Diceros bicornis minor: one gene and its partners. The protein of the gene in region 2 purifies or fractionates together with the protein of the main gene of each other region. This does not show direct contact. Links are inferred from orthologs where the notes say so. Each region holds a gene or a part of one and is shown on either strand. Other genes may lie near its edges. The genes, in order: ANAPC7, ANAPC15 and ANAPC1.

The links.
Region 1: the proteins of ANAPC15 (region 2) and ANAPC7 purify together in Homo sapiens (affinity purification with mass spectrometry; 3 studies listed by BioGRID and IntAct, with this or other methods). This does not show direct contact. The link is inferred for Diceros bicornis minor from reciprocal best matches to the Homo sapiens genes ANAPC15 and ANAPC7.
Region 3: the proteins of ANAPC15 (region 2) and ANAPC1 purify together in Homo sapiens (affinity purification with mass spectrometry; 3 studies listed by BioGRID and IntAct, with this or other methods). This does not show direct contact. The link is inferred for Diceros bicornis minor from reciprocal best matches to the Homo sapiens genes ANAPC15 and ANAPC1.

What each region holds. Positions count from the first base shown.
Region 1 is NC_080774.1:8,943,833-8,950,784, forward strand, and holds the start of ANAPC7 (anaphase-promoting complex subunit 7), read right to left. Parts: upstream 3,012-6,952; 5' UTR 2,944-3,011; coding exon 2,843-2,943; intron 1-2,842. UniProt on the Homo sapiens protein: Component of the anaphase promoting complex/cyclosome (APC/C), a cell cycle-regulated E3 ubiquitin ligase that controls progression through mitosis and the G1 phase of the cell cycle.
Region 2 is NC_080746.1:58,529,763-58,536,744, forward strand, and holds the start of ANAPC15 (anaphase-promoting complex subunit 15), read left to right. Parts: upstream 1-3,907; 5' UTR 3,908-3,916; coding exon 3,917-4,008; intron 4,009-4,423; exon of another isoform or gene 4,424-4,689; intron 4,690-5,456; coding exon 5,457-5,586; intron 5,587-6,129; coding exon 6,130-6,189; intron 6,190-6,492; coding exon 6,493-6,630; intron 6,631-6,784; coding exon 6,785-6,844; 3' UTR 6,845-6,982. UniProt on the Homo sapiens protein: Component of the anaphase promoting complex/cyclosome (APC/C), a cell cycle-regulated E3 ubiquitin ligase that controls progression through mitosis and the G1 phase of the cell cycle.
Region 3 is NC_080779.1:18,750,155-18,757,871, forward strand, and holds the start of ANAPC1 (anaphase-promoting complex subunit 1), read right to left. Parts: upstream 3,025-7,717; 5' UTR 2,778-3,024; intron 2,752-2,777; exon of another isoform or gene 2,475-2,751; intron 2,195-2,474; exon of another isoform or gene 2,074-2,194; intron 772-2,073; 5' UTR 748-771; coding exon 535-747; intron 1-534. UniProt on the Homo sapiens protein: Component of the anaphase promoting complex/cyclosome (APC/C), a cell cycle-regulated E3 ubiquitin ligase that controls progression through mitosis and the G1 phase of the cell cycle.

The DNA of each region.
Region 1 (6,952 bases), on a different chromosome or scaffold from region 2:
AATTTATCTCCTTGAGTCTCAGGGGCTTAAGGACAGTGTAAGGAACCAATACGTTTCACAACTTTTTCTTTAACCTTGAATATTGTTCACAAGTGTTATAACTGCCTAGAAGCTGGCCACTATTCTTAATGGAAAATCCATTTTTAATCTCTGACCCACCCCTCCCCCACTTCTTCTCAAATTGAGTAGTTTACACGTTTTTGACAGGTAAAAGCTACAGCCGCTTAAAATGAAAAAACAGTCAGAGTTACAGAACTCTGCAGACAGTTAATTTCTCAACAAATGAAAGATATTCAAGAACAGGTACTATAGTTGCCAGGGCCTGGGGAAAGCAGAATTGGGGAGTGACTACTAACAGATACCAGCTTTCTTTTTGGGGTAATAAAAATGTTTTGGAATAGACAGTGGTAATGGCTGCACAACTCTGAATATACTTAAAACCACAGAAATGTATTTTCTAAAAGGGTGAATTTGACAGTATGTGAATTTTATCTTAAAAAAAAGAAAGGATAGGTAGGCTAAACACGGGATATAAAGTTACAAAGGAAAGTCAAGGACAAAGGTATAGTCCAGAGAGTTAAGATCTCTTCCAACTCTGAGATTCTATGTACTTAGTGAGAAATAAGATTGGATAGAAAATATTACTACACTCAGAGAAAGCATTCAGATATTTATATATTGTAACATACATGCCTACTTATGCATGCATAAGTCATCTCTGGAATGATACATAAGAAACTGTTAATAGGGTCAGCCCGGTGGCTTAGAGGTTAAGTGCGCGCGCTCCGCTGCTGGCAGCCTGGGTTCGGATCCCGGGCGCGCACCGACGCACTGCTTCTCCGGCCATGCTGAGGCCGCATCCCACATACAGCAACCAGAAGGATGTACAGCTATGACAGACAACTATCTACTGGGGCTTTGGGGGAAAAATAAATAAATAAAATCTTTAAAAAAAAAAAAAAGAAACTGTTAATAGTTGTTGCCTTTGGAGAAGTGAAATGGTGGGGTGAGGGTCAAAACTCAGGGACAGACACTTATCTGCATACCCCTTTTGCACTGTTTGAATTTTTTTTACCATGTATATTGCCAATTTAATTTAAAATATTAATGATAAAGGTCAGAATTTAAATGCCTCCTAAAGCTAGGAAACCGCCAGTTTAACCTATTATGAAGAAGCATGGGCTAACTAAGTCTAGTCCGAGGATCAAACTGCTTCTAACTACCCTGTAACATCTTCCGGAACTAAGAGTAATGACTAACTGGTGTATAAATTTCCAATGGTGGAAACTGTGTGCCTTGACAAATCACTCAGAACCAAGTGAAAGACTCCAGAACAAACACAGACGGCTGACAGAGACCAGGGCTCCTCACTGTCAACACTAAATGAATGGTGGCAAAATGACGGGTCTCAAGTAGCAAGGCCCAAAAGCACAGTAATGGAAATGAAATCGGGAGCAGTGGCTGCATCGCAGGCACTTGAGGGGCTTTTCCTTTCTAACCTAGACAGCTTCTAGAGCAAGCCAAATGCAATGGGTCCACCTTGGGTAGGAGATTCAGTTATAATGCCACTGAGAGGCAGTAAACTGCGGTGGGTCAGAATAGAGACTTTCTAAAGTCAGAAGGACCAAAATGCAGACATCGTGGCTCCTCCACTTACTAGATGTGTGTGAAATCAGAAACAGTATTTCACCTCCCTAAGGTTGTATGCACTTCCTTAGCACATTCAAAAAACGTACGAATGCTTATTGCACAGGCACTGTGCTGACTTCATGAGGTGTTACGAGTCACGCAGAATATATGTTTTAAAAGCTCTCATCATAATAAAAAAAAAATTGTAACTGTGTGATGATGGACGTGAACTAGACATTGCGGTAATCATTTCCCAATACACACAAATATCCAAACAATGTTATACATCGATTACATCTCAATTAGAAAAAGAGTGATGCAGAAAATAAAACAGGGCAAAGGGATACATAGTGAGGGGAAGGGACAATTCTGATAGAGAAGAGCTCTCGAGGAAGGATATCTGAGCTGAAACCTGAACGAGGAGGCAGCTCGGAGGGGAGGACTCCAAGCAGAAGAGCCAATGCAAAAGCCCTGAGCTGAGAACGAGCTCGGTGCGTTCCAGCAAGAGAAAGAGGCAGGGAGGCTGGAGTACAGCGAGCAGAGCAGACGAGATGAAGTCGGGGAGAAAGATGCTCGGCCTCTAAGCCATGGGAAGGAACTTTAATTTAAACAGAATGGAGACACTGAAGCACGGCTGCGACAGGCACTCCAGGCTGCACACGGCCCTGTGCTTCCTCCGTCATAAGACTCAATAGACGGCAGCGCGAAAAACAGAAAAGGGGCCCTGCGAGTCCTTAGAAAGGCACCACTCCCACCCAGCCAGGGAGCCCCCCGTTTGCCGAGGAGAAAGTGAACTCTCCTGATACACTCAAGGAGAAAGAGCAATCTCGGGTGGGGGACGAAGGTATAAAACCAGGGGCCGGGAAGGGAAGAGTCGGCCCAGCGATGTGACAGTCGCTATGCCCGGCGACAGGGGCCTCGGGAAACCCTCGCCAGGGTCGCCCTCGGAGCCTCCGCCTTCCGTCTCTCCAAGCCGCCGCTCGCCACATCCCCCGCAGGGAGCGCATCCCAGCGCCCGGCACAACGCGGGGACCCGGCGACCTCAACTTGCGCTCCTGAGCCGGCTCCGCCCGACGAGGCCCTGGCTGACCCCGGAGCTTCAGCTGGGGCCCGCGGCCGCTCCTTCCCGCCACTCCCCGGGCCCCCTCGGCCCCCGCTCCCAAGCCGGCGCCGCTGTCTCCTCAGCCCCAGGCCGCTCCCCGCCTCCACTCACGGGTTATTATTACTCATGGTAAGTAACAAGCTGCTGAGGAGCCGCACGTTGGAGTGCAGCCCCGCGGCCGCCATGTCTCGCACGTGGTCTATCACATTCATCCCGCCCGGCAAGGCCGAGGGCAGCGGCGGCAGCGGCGCGGAGAGCCGGTAGACGCTCCTCAGAGAAGACTCCAAAATGGCGGCCTCGCCGGGGTCCATCGGGCCCACATGCGGCACCGCCCCCAGGAAAATAGGCAACTACTGAAGTGCCTGAATAGAAGAAGAAGAAAAAAAAGAAAAAAAACAAAACTTCTTCCCCCAAGCCCCCTGTGAGGTGGAATGATTTGGTTTTCGGGACTATTGTTTTTGCTTTTGTTTCGTTCTGTTAGCAAAAGTTGCATCATCATTCTAAGCTGCAGACTTTACTGAGGGCTTACAATGGGCTGAGGACAAAAGGCACCTCAGTATGAATATATGCTCAATTGAAATGAGTCTGAGAGGAATCTGTGTCTCCCAGAAGTTAATAAAAATATATGGACAGTTATAAATAAAAGTATAGTAGGGTGCGGGCGGGAAAAATCTCCAACAGCTGGAATTAAATATTTTAATCAGGCGCCAGGGGCAGTCCTAACTGCTTTCAAGTCGCTCTGGCGCACCTGGCTGAAGGTGCCACGCCCCCTCCTCTCAGGTATTGTGTGTACCTGTGGGAGTCAGGCTTCACCTTTGGAGGGACGCCTTGGGTGCAAAAAAGACATGTTTTTACCCTGTGAAATGACTCACTAACTCAGAGTGAATAAAGGCTAGGTTGAGTTTTAGCCATCCTAATATGTGTGTAGTGTTGTTTTAATTTGCAATTCCGTGATGACATATGACGTTGAACGTCTTCTCATAGGCCTATTTGCCATCTGTATCTCTTCTTTGGTGAGGTGTCTGTTTAGATCCTTTGCCCATTTTTCAATCCGGTTGTTGGTGTTCTTACTGTTGGGTTTTAAGTGTTCTTTGCGTATTTTGGATAACAGTCCTTTATCAGATATGTGTTTTACAAATATTTTTTCTGTCTGTAGCTTTTTTTCTCATTCTCTTGACCACTCTCTCTCTTTTACAAAAAACCTACTTTCGGTAATAATCCTGAAATGAAATGACTAATAATAATGGCCAGAAAAGAAACAGCGAAAATATCATTTTCTTAAACTTCATCTAAATAATGATGCCAGTAAAAATTTTAATGAAAAATAAAACAAATATTACAGTACAAAAAGATAACGGATTAGGGCCAGCCCCATGGCTTAGCGGTTAAGTGCACGCGCTCCGCTACTGGCAGCCTGGGTTCGGATCTGGGGGCGCACCGACGCACCGCTTCTCCAGCCATGCTGAGGCCGCGGCCCACATACAGCAACTAGAAGGATGTGCAGCTATGACATACAATAATCTACTGGGGCTTTGGGTGAAAATAAATAAATAAATAAATAAAAATCTTTAAAAAAAAAACTGATCATCTTTGCATATTCATCTTCAATAGGCAGCATAAACAGATTTGTCAATCGTTGGAGCACAGCCATGAAAAGACATGGAGGAAACTTAGCATATTACTAACTGAAATGAAGCCAATCTGAAAAGGCTACATACCGTATGATTTCAACTATTTGACATTCTGGAAAAGATGAAACTGGAGACAGTAAAAAGGTCAGTGGTTGCCAGGAGGTAGAGGGGAGGGAGGAATAGCGGAGCACAGAGGATTTTTAGGGCAGTGGAACTATTCTATATGATACTATAATGGTGGATACATGTCATACATTTGTCAAAACGCATAGAATGTACAACACGGAGAGAACCTAACAGAAACTATGGACTTGGGTGATAATGATGTGTCAGTGTAGGTTCATCAGTTGTAACAAATGTATCACACTGGTGTGGGATGTTGGTAGTGGGGGAGACTGTGCATGTGCGGGGGCAGGGGGTTTATGGGAACTCTTTGCATCTTCTGCTCAATTTTGCTCTGAACCTAAAACTGCTCTAAAAAATAAAGTTTACTAAAAAAAAAAAGAAAGAAAGAAAGAAAAAGGGGAAGGAGGTATAAAAATTGACCTGCTCTGGGTGTCAAACATGCTGTGTATACCGCTGTATCTAACACACTTGGAACAGTGGCTGACACAGAGTAAACACTAACTACATAAATGCTTGCTATCATACTTTTTTCTACATTCAAAATATTTCCTAATGAAAACCACATCTAACAATAGCCAAAAAGTGAAAACAATTCAAATATTCACCAGCTGATGACTATATAAACCAAATGTGGTATATCCATACAGTGTAATTCTATTCAGCAAAAAATAAAAAAAAGAACAAACTTCTGATAACATGGATGAATTTCAAAATTATTATGCTAAAAATAATGCTAGGTGAAAAAAAACAGACGGAAAAAAATCACAATCTCTGACTCCATTTATATGAAACATTCAGGAAAGACAAACTGATAGCAACAAAAAGATTAGTGGTTGCTTGATGGTGAGGGTGGGAAGCGGGAGTGACTGCAAATGAGCAAGAGGGATCTTTTTAGGGTAGATGGAAATGTTCTAAAACTGGATTGTGGTAATTGCTGCACAACTCTAAATTCACTAAGAAATCATTGAATTGTACACTTAAATGGGTGAATTTTAAAGATTTTATTTATTTATGTATTTTCCCCCCAAAGCCCCAGCAGATAGTTGTATGTCATAGCTGCACATCCTTCTAGTTGCTGTATGTGGGACAGGGCCTCAGCATGGCCAGAGAAGCAGCGTGTCGGCGGGTGCCCGGGATCCGAACCCGGGCCGCCAGCAGCGGAGCGCGTGCACTCAACCGCTAAGCCACGGGGCCGGCCCAAAATGGGTGAATTTTATATACCTCAATAAAACCATTAAAAAAATAAACACATCTTTAAGCCACGTGACTCATGAGTCTCCAATTTACCTTCTCCAAGCTACACTGTAATTGCAAAATATAGTTAGGTTTATATCTGGATTGACATCTTACTGTAAAGTCACATATCCACTGATCCTGGAATAAACCAACATTCATAGATTCAAGAAACATTTTTAGGGGCCGGCCCCGTGGCTTAGCGGTTAAGTGCGTGCACTCCACTACTGGCGGCCTGGGTTTGGATCCCGCGCAGTCACCAACCCACCGCTTCTCCGGCCATGCTGAGGCGGCATGCCACATACAGCAACTAGAAGAATGTGCAACTATGACATACAACTATCTAGTGGTGCTTTGGGGAGAAAAAGGGGAAAAAAAGGAGGAGGATTGGCAATAGATCTTAGCTCAGGGCTGGTCTTCCTCAGCAAAAAAAAAAAAAAGAAAGAAACATTTTTAGTTGAAATTGCCATACCTTCTCCTAAAAAGTGATTCATCTCTCCTTTAATGCCTCGATTCTCTGAATGGGAATTATAGTTTGGACAATTCGTTTGATAACTAATGACTTCATTGCCCTATATGCCTCTCCTTCACCATACTTAAATCTGTGATTGTTAATTAACTTTTCTCATCTCTGTACACCTTGTCTCACGAGGGGGCAGAGTGAGTGGGACGCTTCTTTGCATTCCTGACAGGTCTACACCCACCTGGATGACTGGAAACTAACGAGACAGAGGGCCTATCTGTCTTGCACACCATTCTGTGGTCTGTGCCTGGCACATAGTAGGTGTTAACAAATATTCAATAATGGATGAAGAAGAAGCATGAGTCAATGACCTCATCACATAGCTCATTTAATTAAAAGAGTTAAGATATTGATGGTATAAAAAATGCTTTATAAATCATGAAACACTAGACGAACATAATAAATCATTATAATGAGACATTCATTGTTAATTGGTTTCTCCTCTCCTTTCAGCTGCTTCACTGTACATTCATTCAACATATGTTTATTATGCACCTACTGTGTGCCAGAAATTATTCTAGACCATGGGGATATAGCAGGGAACAAAACAAACAAAAATCCATGTTCTTTTAGAGCTGACATTCCAATGAGGGGAGATAAACAACAAATAAGTAATACAAATAGTATAGAAGGTGATAAAATATACTGAAGTATTTATGGAAGAAACAATGTCTAGGATTTACTTTAAAATATTCCTTGAAGTGGGAG
Region 2 (6,982 bases):
GCCTGGCTCCCATCCCATCCACTCCATCTTAGGGCCATCAAAGCCCTTCCTCATCTGAGTCCTCTTAACATTCTTTCTCATCTCTCTCTCTGTCCCCAGACACCTAGTTCTCCCCAAAAGGATTCTCACTGTTCTCCAAACACATTATCTGCTTTCAACTCATGCCCTGGCATGTAACATGACTCTTTGTGCATCCCCTTCTCTCATTTGTCTACTGGGTGAACTCCTACTCATCCCTCAAGGCCCACTCAAATGTTTCCTTCCCTGGAACAAAAATCTAAACTCAGTTTATCTAGGACCCATTCATCTCTCCCCACTCTGTGCTCTCATAACACTCTCTACATACATTGATTTTAACATTTACTACCCTCTTCTCTAATTGTCTTAGTCCTCATTAGACTGTATTTTTCTCTAGAACAGGGATTATTTCTGCTTCATCTCTCTTTCCACAGGGCCTATCAAGATGTCTGGTACTCAATAAATGTTGACCAAACACTGGAACAAATGAAGGAATATGAGGCAAATTTCTTAACCTCTCAGAGTCTTAGTTTTATTATTCTTGAAATGAAAGAAAGTGAAACACTTGGCAAGGACAAATGATGGATAATGATGTAAAACAAATGGCACCATATTTGACTCAGTTGCCTGAGACAAAAATGGAGAATTGCCCAAAATTTCCACTTCTCCCTCTCCCTTTTCCCCTCCCCTGGCTAACTAGTCACCGTGACTTGTTGAATCTGGCTGAGGACCTCGTTAAGAAACTCTAGGTTATTGGGGAAGTTCCATCAGGCCAGAGCTTGTCAGGAAGGATGGGAGGCGAAGGGTGCTGGAGGGAGGGATCGTATAAGGGAAAGAAGCAAGAGGAGAGACTGATGGGGACACAGGCCACAGGGGGAGCAGATAAGGGACCCAGGAGAAGAGAGAGGTCAGGCTGTGTCAGGTCTATGTCTTGGAGACATAGACACCACCCAGTGTGTGCCCTCAAGAAGCTTATGGTCTGCTGGGGAAACAAACAGAAACAAACAACAGAACTAGGCTGTAGAGGAGCACTACCACCTTCCTGATACCCCTTCTTTACTTGGCTTCCATGATACCACCCAACTCGCCTGGCTTTCTACTTATCCTTTTGGCCCTCCTTCTCAGTCTGATTCACTGCTTCTCCTGGTTTCCTCAAATTCTGAATTTTGATGGAAACTATTTTCCATCTACATTCACTCCTTTGGTGATCTCATCCAGTCTCGTGGCTTTAACTACCGTCTATGTGCTGATGACTCCCAAATTGATACCTCCAGCCTAGATCTCTCCCCTGACCTTCAAACCCATAGCCCTCCTGCCCCCACAACATCTCTACTCTAAGGGGCATCTCAAACTCAACATGCCCAAAAATGAGCTGCAGAGAGTTTCCCAAAAAACCAGCAACTCCCTTGTCTTTCCCATCTCAAGAAATGGCAACACCGGTCTTCCAGTTGTTCACGACAAAAATCTTGGCTCCTTTCTTCCTCTGATGCTCTACATCCAATCTGTCAGCAAAGTTTGTTGTCTCTAACTTCTTAATATATTCAAAGTTCAACCATTTCTCATCCCCACCTCTGGACTATTATAATAGGCTCCCAACTGGTCTCCCTGCTTCTGCTACTGTCCCCCCTGAATCTTTTCTTCATGGAACAGAGTAACTCTGTTAAAATGTAAATCAGATTGTGTGGATCCTCTGCTCAAAACCCTTCACAGGATCCTCAACATGGAGTAAAAGTCACACTCCTTATTATGACCTGCAGGGCTGTACTATCTGGCTCCTGCTACCTCACGTCCTCATCTCCTCCTCCTTTCCCCATAGTACACTATGCTGCAGCCATTCTAGGCCCTTTGTACTTGCTCTCTCCTTGAAATGCTCTTCCCTAAATATCAGAATAGTGCTCTCTTTGTCTCTTTTTCTTCAGAACTTTACTCAAAAGTCACCTTCCCAGGAAGGTCTTCCTTGGCCCCCCACCTAAAATAAAACATCTCCCCTGCCAGCTTTTATTCCTATTTCTCTGATTTATTTTTTCTCCTTAGTATTTACTGCAATCTTAAGGCTATATATTTTACTTATCTATCTTCTTTATTGTTTATCTCTCTCATTAGAATGGAAGTTGCATGAGGAGAGAGATATTTTGGGGGGGTCTGTTTACCATTGTATACCCACTACTTATAATAGTGGCAGGCATATAGTAAGGCACTCAATAGGTATTTGTTGAATTAACGAATAAAAAGGGTGGACATTTCCAAGACGCAAATTTTACTCTTTAATGAAAAACTTGATAACAACCAGAGCTGCTTGGAAACATCATCACATGGATATGCACAGTACACTACCTCTTTTTTTTTTTACAATGTTTTTTTTCTGTGTATGAGGAAGATCAGCCCTGAGCTAACATCCATGACAATCCTCCTCTTTTTGCTGAGGAAGACCGGCCCTGAGCTAACATCTATTGCCAATCCTCCTCCTTTTTTCTCCCCAAAGCCCCAGTAGATAGTTGTATGTCATAGTTGCACATCCTCCTAGTTGCTGTATGTGGGATGCTGCCACAGCATGGCCAGACAAGCGGTGCGTCGGTGCACGTCCAGGATCTGAACCCAGCGACCAGCAGCAGAGCGCGTGCACTTAACCTCTAAGCCGTGGGCCGGCCCCTACACTACCTCTTAAAAACATAACCTCGGGCCTGCCCGGTGGGGCAAGCGGTTAAGTGCACGCGCTCCATTGCGGCAGCCCAGGGTTCGATCAGGGCGCACACCCACGCACTGCTTGGCAAGCCATGCTGTGGCGGTGTCCCATATAAAGTGGAGGAAGATGGACACAGATGTTAGCCCAGGGCCAGTCTTCCTCAGCAAAAAAAGAGGAGGATTGGCAGATGTTAGCACAGGGCTGGTCTCCTCACACACACACACAAAAACGTAATCATCAAATCCTCACATCAACCAAGGATAGGAGGAAAGCTGGGCAGAGATTATGATGCTGGTTGTAGAGGAAACTGAGTCCAGACAGGGAGAAAGGACTTGTTAAAGGTCACACATCGGTTGGGGCAGAAGCGGAACTAAGGATGATTGCCGGCCCTGAAGAGGCTGGTGGGTGATGGAGCTTAATGGGGGTTAGGTTGGAAGGACCTCTGTTGTAAGAGGCATGAGGATCTCTGAAGGGGAGGCTGAGTCAGAGGTTACTAGAACAAAGGCATCAGGAAAGGAGTGGGCGAGATGACGAGGCTACTCATAAGTGTCTTTAGCCCAGGCCTGGAGAGGGCAGCTGAATTCCGCAACAGCAGAATGCGGTGCCTGGGGCTGACTATAATCACTCAAGCTCTTGCACAACCTCAAATGCAAAACTGGACAGGCAATCTTAAGAGACCAGTGAGTCCACTGAAGGTCTGTAGAGTCTGGCTGCCCCACTGGACTGTGAGGTCTTTGGGAGCAGGGACCATGGTCCCAGATTTATACCCAGCTTCTAGCAGAGCCTGGAATACAGTAGGGACTCAAATATTTCTGTTGAAGGCATACATAAATGAATGTATGCGCCCAAACGGGAAACTGAGGGTGAGAGAGGACAGACAGGACGGGGGCAAAATCACCCAGCGATTCTGGGGTAGAAGCAGACTAATTTTCTTCTAACGCAGCAAGACAAACAGCCCTAACACTAACACTGGCTGCTGCCAGCTACCGCATTTTTCAGCCCCAGTCGGCGAGCAAATACCGCCTGGGGCCGGAGAGGCGGGGCTCACTGGGGCCGTTGGGGCGTGGCCAGGGTGGAGAATCCGATTGGCTGAGACTCAAGGCGGGGCCAATAGAGTAGGCGCGGCAAACTTTCACCCCGACAACGTGCTAAGGTGTGTAACGTCACATCCGGTCTGGTGGGCGGGAGTGGGAAACAAAAGGAGAACAAACACGCATGCGTTTGGTGTGGCCCGGGTCTGGTGGGTCCTTCCGCTCAGGCAGTGTCAACTGCTTCCGGGTCGCCGCGGGCTGCCGCCTCCCGGCGCGGTAAGTACAGAAGCAAGGCTCTAAGGCTGCTGCCTCCTGTCCCTTCCTTCCTCCCCAGGGAAACCCCGTTCCCTTGACTCGCCTCCTCAGGAGCTCCATGTCCAGACTCCTTTTAACGTTAAAGAGTTCTAGCTCATTGGCTGCTTCGTCGAGACTAAGCCCCACCCCGCCACACAAAGTCCGTCACTCATTGGTGTCACTTCCTGTCACGCAGCATTTCTTCCAGTTAATTGGCCCTCCTCAGGTCCCGCTCCTTTCGCGTTTAGCAGCCCTATAAGGACAAATGCCCGTCTGAGTCCCGCCTCTGCCTTCTTCCTGTTGGTCAAGCCCACGATCGTAAATAATAAGCAAAAAATGGGCGGCGGCTTTGCGGCGAGGGGTTGGGCTTTGGAAGCCTCGGCTTCTGTCTCTGTCTGGCCTCTTAGTACTTCTGGGACGTGAGGATGGGTGCTGTTGTACCTGTTACACGGGTTGGGCAGCTGGGGTCCACGGAAGGGCAGCGGCTGGCCCCAGATCGGTCAAATAAGTTAGGGCAAAAGCAGAACTTGCTGTAGATCCTTTTCTCCTGTTCATATCCTCTAGTGCCGGGCCTGGATCTCTTTCCCGGGGGAGTTCTATACCCCAACTCACGCTGTGACCTAGAACCAGCCAGTCGTTGCCTGTCGCTGCGCCTGTTTTCCTGTGAGCCAAAAGATTTTAATTCAGATTCTCTGGGACCTTTCTGTGGGTCATCTCCCTCAGCTACTGCATCCGAGTTGAATTTATTTGTTCTCTCACGTTAGTTCATCCATTCAACCTTCTATCTACTTATTTATCCATTTACTCATGCCTTTAGAATGTCTCACTGAACCATACTTGCACGGAGTAACTCCCCGTCCCCCCCCCCCCCGTTGTCCCCCCCCCAGGTTGGCTGTGGTTCATGAGACATGGTTAGTGTCCTAAATTTCTGACACTGGGTGGGTATGGTATGGACCATCATAGAGGGCAAACAGTAGGTCTTAGTCTTTGAAGGAGGTAGAAAGTGTGTCAGTAGAGCCCAGCTACCTCTAATTTTGTATAATTTTGTAATGCCAGTCTGCATTGTGGATTCCTAGCTCTGCATTTGGCTCCCATTCTCTTTCCTCCTTGAACAGCTTACAAACAGCTTTACTTATCCATAAAGCAAGTTACTTAATTATCAGAATAACTGTGAGGATGGTATAATTGTTATTATCCCCATTTTACAGATGAGGAAACTGAGGCTCAGAGAGGTTAAGTGACTTGGCCAAGGTCAAACAGCTAGTAAGTGGCAGACCCAAGACTCAAACCCAGGTCTGTCTGATTCCCACAGGGAAGGGCTGCTTCCCTGCTACCTTCCACTCCACCCCATCCCCAAATCAAACTGTAACAAAATAAAAACCAAAACCAAACATATCTGAGAGCTGGATTCACCTGATCCTTTCCCTCAGTCTAGGAGCCATGTCCACCTTGTTCCCCTCACTCTTCCCCCGTGTGACTGAGACACTGTGGTTTAATCTGGATCGACCTTGTGTGGAGGAGACAGAGCTGCAACAGCAAGAACAGCAGCATCAGGCCTGGGTGAGTGAGGACCTAGCACAGTGGTGGAGCCTCAGTCAGGGACCCCCCTCCCTTCACTGGCCATGACCCAGCCTCACTCTGGAGACCTGCCCTGGAGGAGCTTTTTGCCCTGAGCTGGGAAGAATCAGACTGGGAGCTAGGGGGCCTAGATTCTCATCTTTGTGTTACCCTAATTTGCTGCAGGACCATGGGATCTCTGGTCCAGATTGGAGCCCAGGCTCTTTTCCCTAAAGCATAGGAAATAATAATTTTGACTATTTTTTGAGGACCTAGCAGATGCCATGTTCTAGGCTAATAGTCTCTCACTTCACCCTCACCATAATCTTATGAGGAAACCAAGGCCCTGAGAGTTTACGTAGTTGGACCAAGTTCATAAGTAAGTGGCAGATGATAGGAGAGAAAGGTATTGAATCTTCCTGAGAACTGGAAGGAAGCTTCTCTTCCATTGTTGGGGGTCTTCTTGGGGGCAGCGTGGGCCCGTCCCATGCCCCTGACCTGCCTTGCTTGGGCCCTGGCCCTGCTCTCCTCCCACTTTGGCCACAGCTCCAGAGCATCGCAGAGAAAGACAACAACCTGGTACCTATTGGCAAGCCAGCCTCAGAGGTGAGTAGCCCCAGCAGGTGGGGCCTGTGTGGGGACTAAGGCTCTGTTCTAATTCTGCCCCTGACCTTGGAGCAATTGTGGTCCTCAGCTCTGGATGGAAGCCAGAAAGAGGAGATAGAGGGGGTGGGCATTGGGCCCAGCACTAAGGTCCTGCAGAACATGCACCAGCCTGCTAGACTCGGGGAGGGCAGATTTGGGGAGTAGGGGTCATTCACTGGCCCCAGAGAGAGGCTCCAAGTGGGCCAGCCTTTGAACTGTCCAGCCAGGCCTGTAGAGCCTACAGGCTGTCCCCTGCCTCACCAGCACTATGATGACGAGGAAGAGGAAGATGAAGACGATGACGAGGATAGTGAAGAGGACTCAGAGGATGATGAGGACATGCAGGACATGGATGAGATGAATGACTACAACGAGTCACCTGATGATGGAGAGGTCAATGAGGTAGGCGGGGGTGTGGGGGAGGGCCGCTGCTCCTGGGCCCCTGCCCCTGACCTAATTGGCGGCCGAGGGGTACAGGCACCCTGGATCCAACCACGGGTAGGATCTGGGATGGGGGCTGGCTGGGTGGCTGAGGCCCCTCCCCACCCACACCCAGCCTCCTCTCCAGGTGGACATGGAAGGCAACGAACAGGATCAGGACCAGTGGATGATCTAGGTAGACAAGGCAGGGTGGCCCCAGGGAGATTCCAGGCCAGTCCAACCTACCCTGCACCCCCTGCAGAACCAGCTGATCGCCCCAGTGCCTGAAAGCTCACCCTCGGGCACCTCCTCAGCTGCTGCCAGGACCTGGTCT
Region 3 (7,717 bases), on a different chromosome or scaffold from region 2:
ATGGGAGAGAGAAAGGTTGACATTTCTAACTACATAAACTTTCCCCCCTGAGAATTTGGTATCCCAAAGGGATATGAAAACGGAATAAGACAGGAAAGATTGATTTTCTGACACAAACTTACATCTCATCCCCTTATTTAAGAACTACTACTCTACTTATGTAGCATTTTTTTCTCCTCTACAAACTAAGTTTTCTGTAGCAGGGACCCTTTCTAACTCTAACATCTAATCATCAAGTAACATGAAATCTGGTCCCCACGTACCAAGAGAAGAGAAAGAGGCTTAAAATGGACCATAATCACAGTACTGAACTTGACTCTCATTGTAAAACCATGAGTTATATGTCTAAATAAACAGCTATGACACTATAATACAATCAAGTCATTATTTTAGCCTTGTTTAAAATGACCAAATCTGAACCTCTACCCTAGAAACAGCATCACACTCATTTCTCAGTTGCATCTGGGTAGCCTTAAATTACAAGCAGATTACACCACTCTACATTTCAAAATATAATGGGAAACTGAATGAAACCTTCTGTTTCTCGTGGATTGTAACCTCCTGAAGGGATCCCACCAAACCAGCAGCACCATCAGAAGACCACAACTCAGAGGCTGGCTGCAGCTGGCGAAGCTGAAGGTTCAAAGCATTAGGGTGGTGCTTGCAGTGGTCTCGACCGAAAGGAACAAATTCCTGCAAATCCCCGGCTGCAATCATTGTTGCCCTTTCTTCATAGAAGTTCGACATGGGTTCCAAATATCAACATTATTTCTGTATGAATTCAAACACATTCTGGTCAGCTTCTAGAGTCAAAACCAGGATAAAAATATCACAAAAGTTTACGAAGAGTCATTAATTCTTAGCTGAGTGTCAAATAATCCTATTATATTGCAGGTGTATAAGTAATCAACATCAAAGGGCATTCCAGATCTGACTCTTTCAGGTAATTACAGTTATCACCACACTGTAGTTGCAGACTGACCAACAGACAGTTACCGCTGTCAGAAACCACTGGGCTGAGACAAGCACTTATGCCCCACAACACCTATCCTATGTTTCCTACCACTATACGCTAATTTTTCCACACTTCACACAGAAAGTATTTAGACAAGCTGTCCTTTATATAGTTGTACTTTTTTATAGTTGTACTTTATAGTCCCATGACTGCCGTGCTTCTCAACATTTAAGGTCATTTCTATACAGATGCTGGAACCTCATTTGAAAAGCACACCTAGAGGATCACTGGTATATTGGAATGAAACAAATAAAAAAAAAAACCCACATATTATTTCTAATTCCTCACAAGTTGAACTATTGCTTTCAGTTGACCAATCCACAAAACAGGTAATAAACTATCAAATGTCATCAGTAGTTTTCACACCCCCATTCACCTAAATACATGACTACAATCAATTCGAATTCTTTGTCCAAACCCAGGGAACCAAGGCATGAATAACTCTGGCCATGGAACAGTCATGCTTGTAGCAAATTTAAGCGTCCTAGTTTTTAATTAACATAATCTATTACAGTACAGTTCATTATACAAAGATGTGGATGGGCTGTGAGTGGAAACAAGTCCCTTTACCTCCAATACATTTCTACATATAGTAACTAACAGCTAGAACTAAAATTCTGACACTGTATAATCTTGTTTGTAAGGTGGATGCCAGTCCTGTCTCCAACACAACACCTACATTAAAAATGGGTTTTGCGTGATCACATTTAAACTGCAATCCTCAGACACAGAAATCAAAACAAACGTGATGTCAGCACTATAGACAACCTTTAGAAAGCATCTGAAACAGGGCTCACAATTAGAGTTTAATTAAGTTTGATTTAGATATCTCATCTGAGCTCTTTCTGGCATCAGTTTTCTTTGCTGCAACATCTCAAAGCCTCTGTAGTTTCTACACAGCTCCTCTAGAGTCACAAAGTTATTCTGCTATGAATTAAATGTTATTCCTGACATGACTGTATGTCACAATCATGACTTTTATTTTCCTCCTGCTAAAGCTCAGAACTGAGAACACTTGAACTTGGGACATAACTAAAATAGTGCCTTATAAAACTTACAAGAAAACAGCAAAATTCAGCTCGTCTTCCTATATTCTAGTCAACAGGTTAACCAACACTTAAGAACTTGCCACTTTATCCAACTTCAGTTGTGTAATTTTGAAATGTTATTCCATTAAAACTTTGAGAGAAAATTACAAAATTGTTAATCATACAATTATTTTCACAGTACAGTTTCTCTTTGCCCTGATAAAGGTTAACATTAAAAAATTTTACAGTATCCCAAACTTTTATGCTTTTACTTACTAGGGCAACATACACAGGTACATACGAAAGTACTATCTTAAGGTGACACGCTGTAAGTCGAGATACCAGCACGGCTTACTAGGAACAAAAACAACCCTGCCAAAGGTAACCGCAAAGCTACTTCAAGAGGAGACCCAAATGCACACAAAAGGCACCTTGAGTTGAGTCTTCGCAAAAAGGCAGAGCTTCGTCGGCCTCCTAGGGTTAAGCGAAACCAACAGGCTAAGGGCCTGGGTTTCAGAAAATCCTGTCAGAAGGACAAGGGGCCGATGCAGGAGCTCGGGCCCACGTGGGACTCCGCGCTTAGCTCAGGAAGGAAGTCGGCGAGGCGTGCAGCGGAGAGGGGCACCCCCGAAAGCCCAGCCCGCAGGCCCGGGCCCCCTCGGCTCCGGGTCAGCGGGCCCGAGGGTCAGGGGACGCGCGAGGAACCACCGGGCGCTGCGGGCCCGGGCCCGCACCTGTGTCACTCGGGACGCGTCAGGCGCGGCGAGCCCCGGCTGCTCCCCGGAGGCGCGAGGGCCAAGGGGGCCCGAGGGCAGCGGCAGGGTCGCTCACGGTGACTCCTCGGCCGCCGCAGCTTCTCATCCCCTCCTCCTCCCCTATTCCGGAGGAAGAAGGGGCAGCGGCTGCGGGCGCGACTGCTGACGAGAGGCAAGCGTGCAGGCGACCCACTCAGGCGAGACGTTCAAATGGACGCGTCCATCTTGGCTTTCCCGTCCTGCCTCGCGCCGGGGCGGGGCGGGACATCGCGGGAGGCTCGCGCCAGTCCCGCGGTCCTGACGCCTGCGCAGTTGCGGGAAGAATGCGCGGAGCGGAAGTTGCTGGGTACTTCCATCTTTGTTAGCGTGGCGCCGAGCCCCGAAGCGGGGAAGTCTCTGTTCCAGTCTGTCCTGTGATTGGACCCCCGTAGCAGAGTGGCTCCAGGTCATGTCGCTACGAGCTCGAACTGCTTCCCAACTCTGAATTAGGGGATATCCTGGCTGTTTTCGCTCCTGTCTCCCGACCCGACGAGGGGACTGCTGATTATCTCTTTATGCCAGTGCATTTTAACCCTTTGGGGTCCAGGCCCCTTGAAAAGTTGATGAAGCGTATGGAGGCCTCGCGAACACGTTGTGTGCAATTTCTGAGCGTCGCAGACCCAGGTTAAGAATCCCAGCTTTATCCTTCCTTCCGCGTCTGTGGAGTCAGCTGTACAATTAGCGCACTTGGGAAAGGAGCAAACTCTCTTGAGCTCTAATCTCCCATTGCGTGGTGTCTCTAGGTTGAAATTATTGACAGGCGCCCTGTTGCCTAAGAAAAGTTCAAATTCTTTATCCAGAAATGTAAAGTTGGCAGAAACCGTATGTCGGCACTAAAATTGTCCACTGGGCTTCCCGAAAACACCTTGCAGTGTGTGGCCTTGGTATCTCAGTTCATTCTCATCCCTTGATTTGGAATGTCCACGTTCAGGGTTTAGCTCAGATACCTCCTTAGAAGGCTTCACTCCAACAGGAGCCTACTGAGGATTGAATGTGTGTGTCCCCCCAAAAATTCATAGTTGAAACTATGCCCTATGTGATGGTGTTAGGAGGTGGGACCTTCAGAAGGTGCTTAGATCATGAGGGTGGAGCCCTCATGAATGGGATTAGTGCCCTTATAAGGAGACCTACAGAGCTCCCTGGCCCCTTCTACCAAGTGAGGACACAGCAAAAAGACAGCTGTCCGTGAATTAGAAAGTGGGCTCTCACCAGACACCGAATCTGCCAGCACCATAATCTTGGACTTCCCAGCCTCCAGAACTATGAGAAATAAATATTTCTTGTTTATAAGCCACACAGTTGATGGTATTTTTGTTATAGAAGCCCAAGAGAACTAAGACAGAGCCTCTCTTAGAACTCTGAGAAGACCTGTTCACTGTAGTCATTTACCTGAAACCAAAATATCCCCAGACTTCCCTGGCCTGAGGATACAAGGAGCAAATTTTAATGAAGGCAAACTGATCAATAAGAACAAGGCAGGAAGGAACCAGACAAGTAAATTCCCTTTTCTTCTCTCTCTGGTGGACTATTCTAAGGCAAAGTTTCTCCGCACAGCCTGTCAGGAGACGTCCTGTATGGCTGAGTGGACACACCTGCCAAGCGGACTGCTGCATTGTTGGCAGCCTGTTGTGAAGCAGCGCCAGTGTGGCACTTCTCATCCTTCCATGCTTCATTTCCCCTTTCCTTCATTCTCTCTATCTTGGGCTAAAGCATCAGCGCTCATCAAACTTCCCTCGGGCTCTGTTTTCTAGGACAACGCAATCCACAAAGCATGTCTTACGCCGTCAACTGTGCAATCCGTGAAGCAGAATCACTGAAAGGGTCACCCAGCTCTTCCTCCTGCCTGTTCCCTTACTTTCCCTAAATTCTCTCAAGATGCCTTTCTGTGGCCTCAGCCTTGATATCCTCTGTGAGGACAGCAAGGTCCGTCCTGATAGTTCCCCTCCTACTCCCGAAGACCTTGGGCCCTCAGGTGCCAGAGCAGTGCTGTGTTCCCTGCAGCACTCCAGTGTCATTAACGACACTTGGACTCATGCTTTGACAGTCTCTTAAGAAAGCAAATCCTGCTTCTGCCACTGACCTCTCTGCTCATGGGGTCCAAACCACAAATCCAGGAGTTTCAGAGAAGAGTTATTTCCCGTTGTCTCTATCGTCCTCCCATTCTCTTCTGTTGGCATTTGAGGCATCCACTTGGCTCAGAACACGTAAGCCCTGGTATAGACTCCTGCAGGCTGCCAACTCATTGCATTTCCGCTGCCCTCCAAGCAAGCGTGAATTCCCTTGTGGGCGCCTGAGATTGCATCTTGGATACAGATACACATATATCCAATATTATACACTAGACCTCTTTTGCTGATGTACTCACCCCAGTAGTTAGCAAAATTCTCTCTATATGATTGGTATGCAAAAAATTGAATACAGGGGCAGGCCCAGTGGTGCAGGCGGTTAAGTGCGCGCGCTGCGCTGCAGCGGCCCAGGGTTCACTGGTTCGGATCCCGGGCGTGCACCGACGCACCGCTTGTTAAGCCATGCTGTGGCCGCGTCCCATGTAAAGGGGAGGAAGATGGGCACGGATGTTAGCCCAGGGCCAGTCTTCCTCAGCAAAAAAAAGAGGAGGGTTGGCAGATGTTAGCTCAGGGAGGATCTTCCTCATGAAAGAAAAAAAAATTGAATACAATCCCTATTTCTCACTTTTAATCTGTAATAAAATATACGTCTCTGCATTAGTAGCTATCGCTGCATAATAATATTACCACAAACTTGGTGATTTAAAATAACCTATTTATTATTGTCACAATTTCTGTGGGTCAGGAGTCCAGGCCCAGATAGGTCTTGTGCTTAAGAGTCTCACAAGGCTGCAGTCAAGGTGTTGCCTGGGACTGTGGTTTCATCCAAGGCTTACCAGAGAAAATTCTGCTTCCAGGCTCGCTTGGAATTCAGTTTCTTGTGGTTAAAGGACTAAGGGCTTTGGTATGTTGCTGGCTGTCAGCCAGAGGCTGCCCTCAGCAACCAGAGGCCACCCACAGTTCCTTGCCGCACAGGGTTCCCCAACATCATCAAAGTATGCAAGCCAAGAGGGCAATAGAGTCTGCCAGCAAGAAGTCAGTCGCGATCGTAGACAATCTGATCACAAGAGTAACAGCCGATCACCTTTGAGGGTCAGGAGCAAGTCACGCTCAGGGAGGGGATTACACAAAGACGCAGGGATCACTGGGGGCCATCTCAGAAGCAGCCCACTACGGTCTCCAATATCTGTCTGATAGTATATAAGGCCCTAAACTACCCATTTTAGCCAGGAGGGTGAAATGGCTGCCAGACTCCTCTCCTCTGAGCCCTCGCAGCTGCCTGCCCTCAGCCCTTCCCCTCTGGGTCTGCAGAGGGCCCTACAGCTGCCTCTCCACCAGGCCTGCAAAGGACCCGGCGGCTGACCCCATCTCACCCTCCAGTTCTCAACAATCTCATAGTCTCAGAAACTACCCAACAGATTTTTGTTAAAGCAAAGTTTGGTGTTTTTTAACTACTACTGCAGAGGAGAGACAGGGAAGACAAGCTGCTTCGCAAACCCCTGAAACCACACTTGATTTTTATAGGGTTGGAAAAACAGCACCCAAAAGTCAGGGGACAAAGGAAAAAAAGGACAAAGGAAAAAAAAAAAATGAGGTTCATTACCAGTTCATTTACATGGTAAGTGGTGAACAACAGGTACAATTAATGAACTGTCACATAACCATGTTTTCTGAATTTATTCAACTTCCAATACCTGGTTCACAAACTTGAAGTCAATTCAGGCATGGGGTTAGGATTTATACTTGAAGTAGGGTGACCAACCATCCCAGTTTTCCCAGGATCGAGGGTTCCCAGGACATGGGACTTTCAGTTTTAAAACCAGACATCCTAGACAAACAGAGACTACTAGTCACCCTAATTTGAAATGATAAAAGGTAGTCTTATACACATCTGAGCAAACTCTTACTTCTGGGACCTTGGGTATTGGGATATTTAAGAGAAATGAACGCCACAGCATATAAAACACATCTTCTCCATTTCAAACTTCTGGCTAGCCTGGCTGGCCCAACTTTATATCTCACAAGGTGTTTGTAAAAATAGTTTTGAGACCAGGGGCAATTTGTAGCATTGCGCTGAACAAACAGGAAGTCTAAAAATCTGGAAAATTAGGGGTTCTATTCATTTAATCAAAGCTTGTCCCATCTTAAAGGGGAAGTTTGTATTTCTGATTTGAAATTTTTCCTTCTCAAAGAGAGGGTTTACAATATTTTGATTCCACAATTTAAATGCTACCTTTTCAAATCTCAATAACTCACTTCCCCTAAGAAAAACGCAATAATTTGAGAGAGTTGTAATTATAGATTAAATTGAGAGTAGGTGGTATAGGGAAACTAAGTAATAAAAGATTGGATTCAATCATCCGTTTTACAGAGGCAAGTCTGATATAATCAAAGAGTAATTGACTAGTACCCTTTGTATCAAGTTCTTGCTTCCCAATCTGATTTTAACCAGCAATATTTTACTATTTTAAGCCTCTGGGTCTCGTTGCTATTGCTATAATTGCTAAATTAGTAGAAGCAAGAGTTGAAATGGTGCCTGTGAGGGACTTTTCATAGTACAGTGAATATGTTATTGTATGTTACTGAATGGGGACATTAGCTACAAATGGCACCAAGCAGTCATTCTGTGGAGGGGATGAAAGCCCTGGTAACGTACGAACAACCACCAAAGAAATACTTTCTCAAATCCTTCCATGATAAAGGTATTCTTAGCCATTGTTGGTGCCTAACTAATCCCAGGTGTAGAGGCTTTCCCATGTAACGGTGGGTAGTTGAGGTTGGTAGAGGACTGACACCAATGCGGAGAGAGAAGAA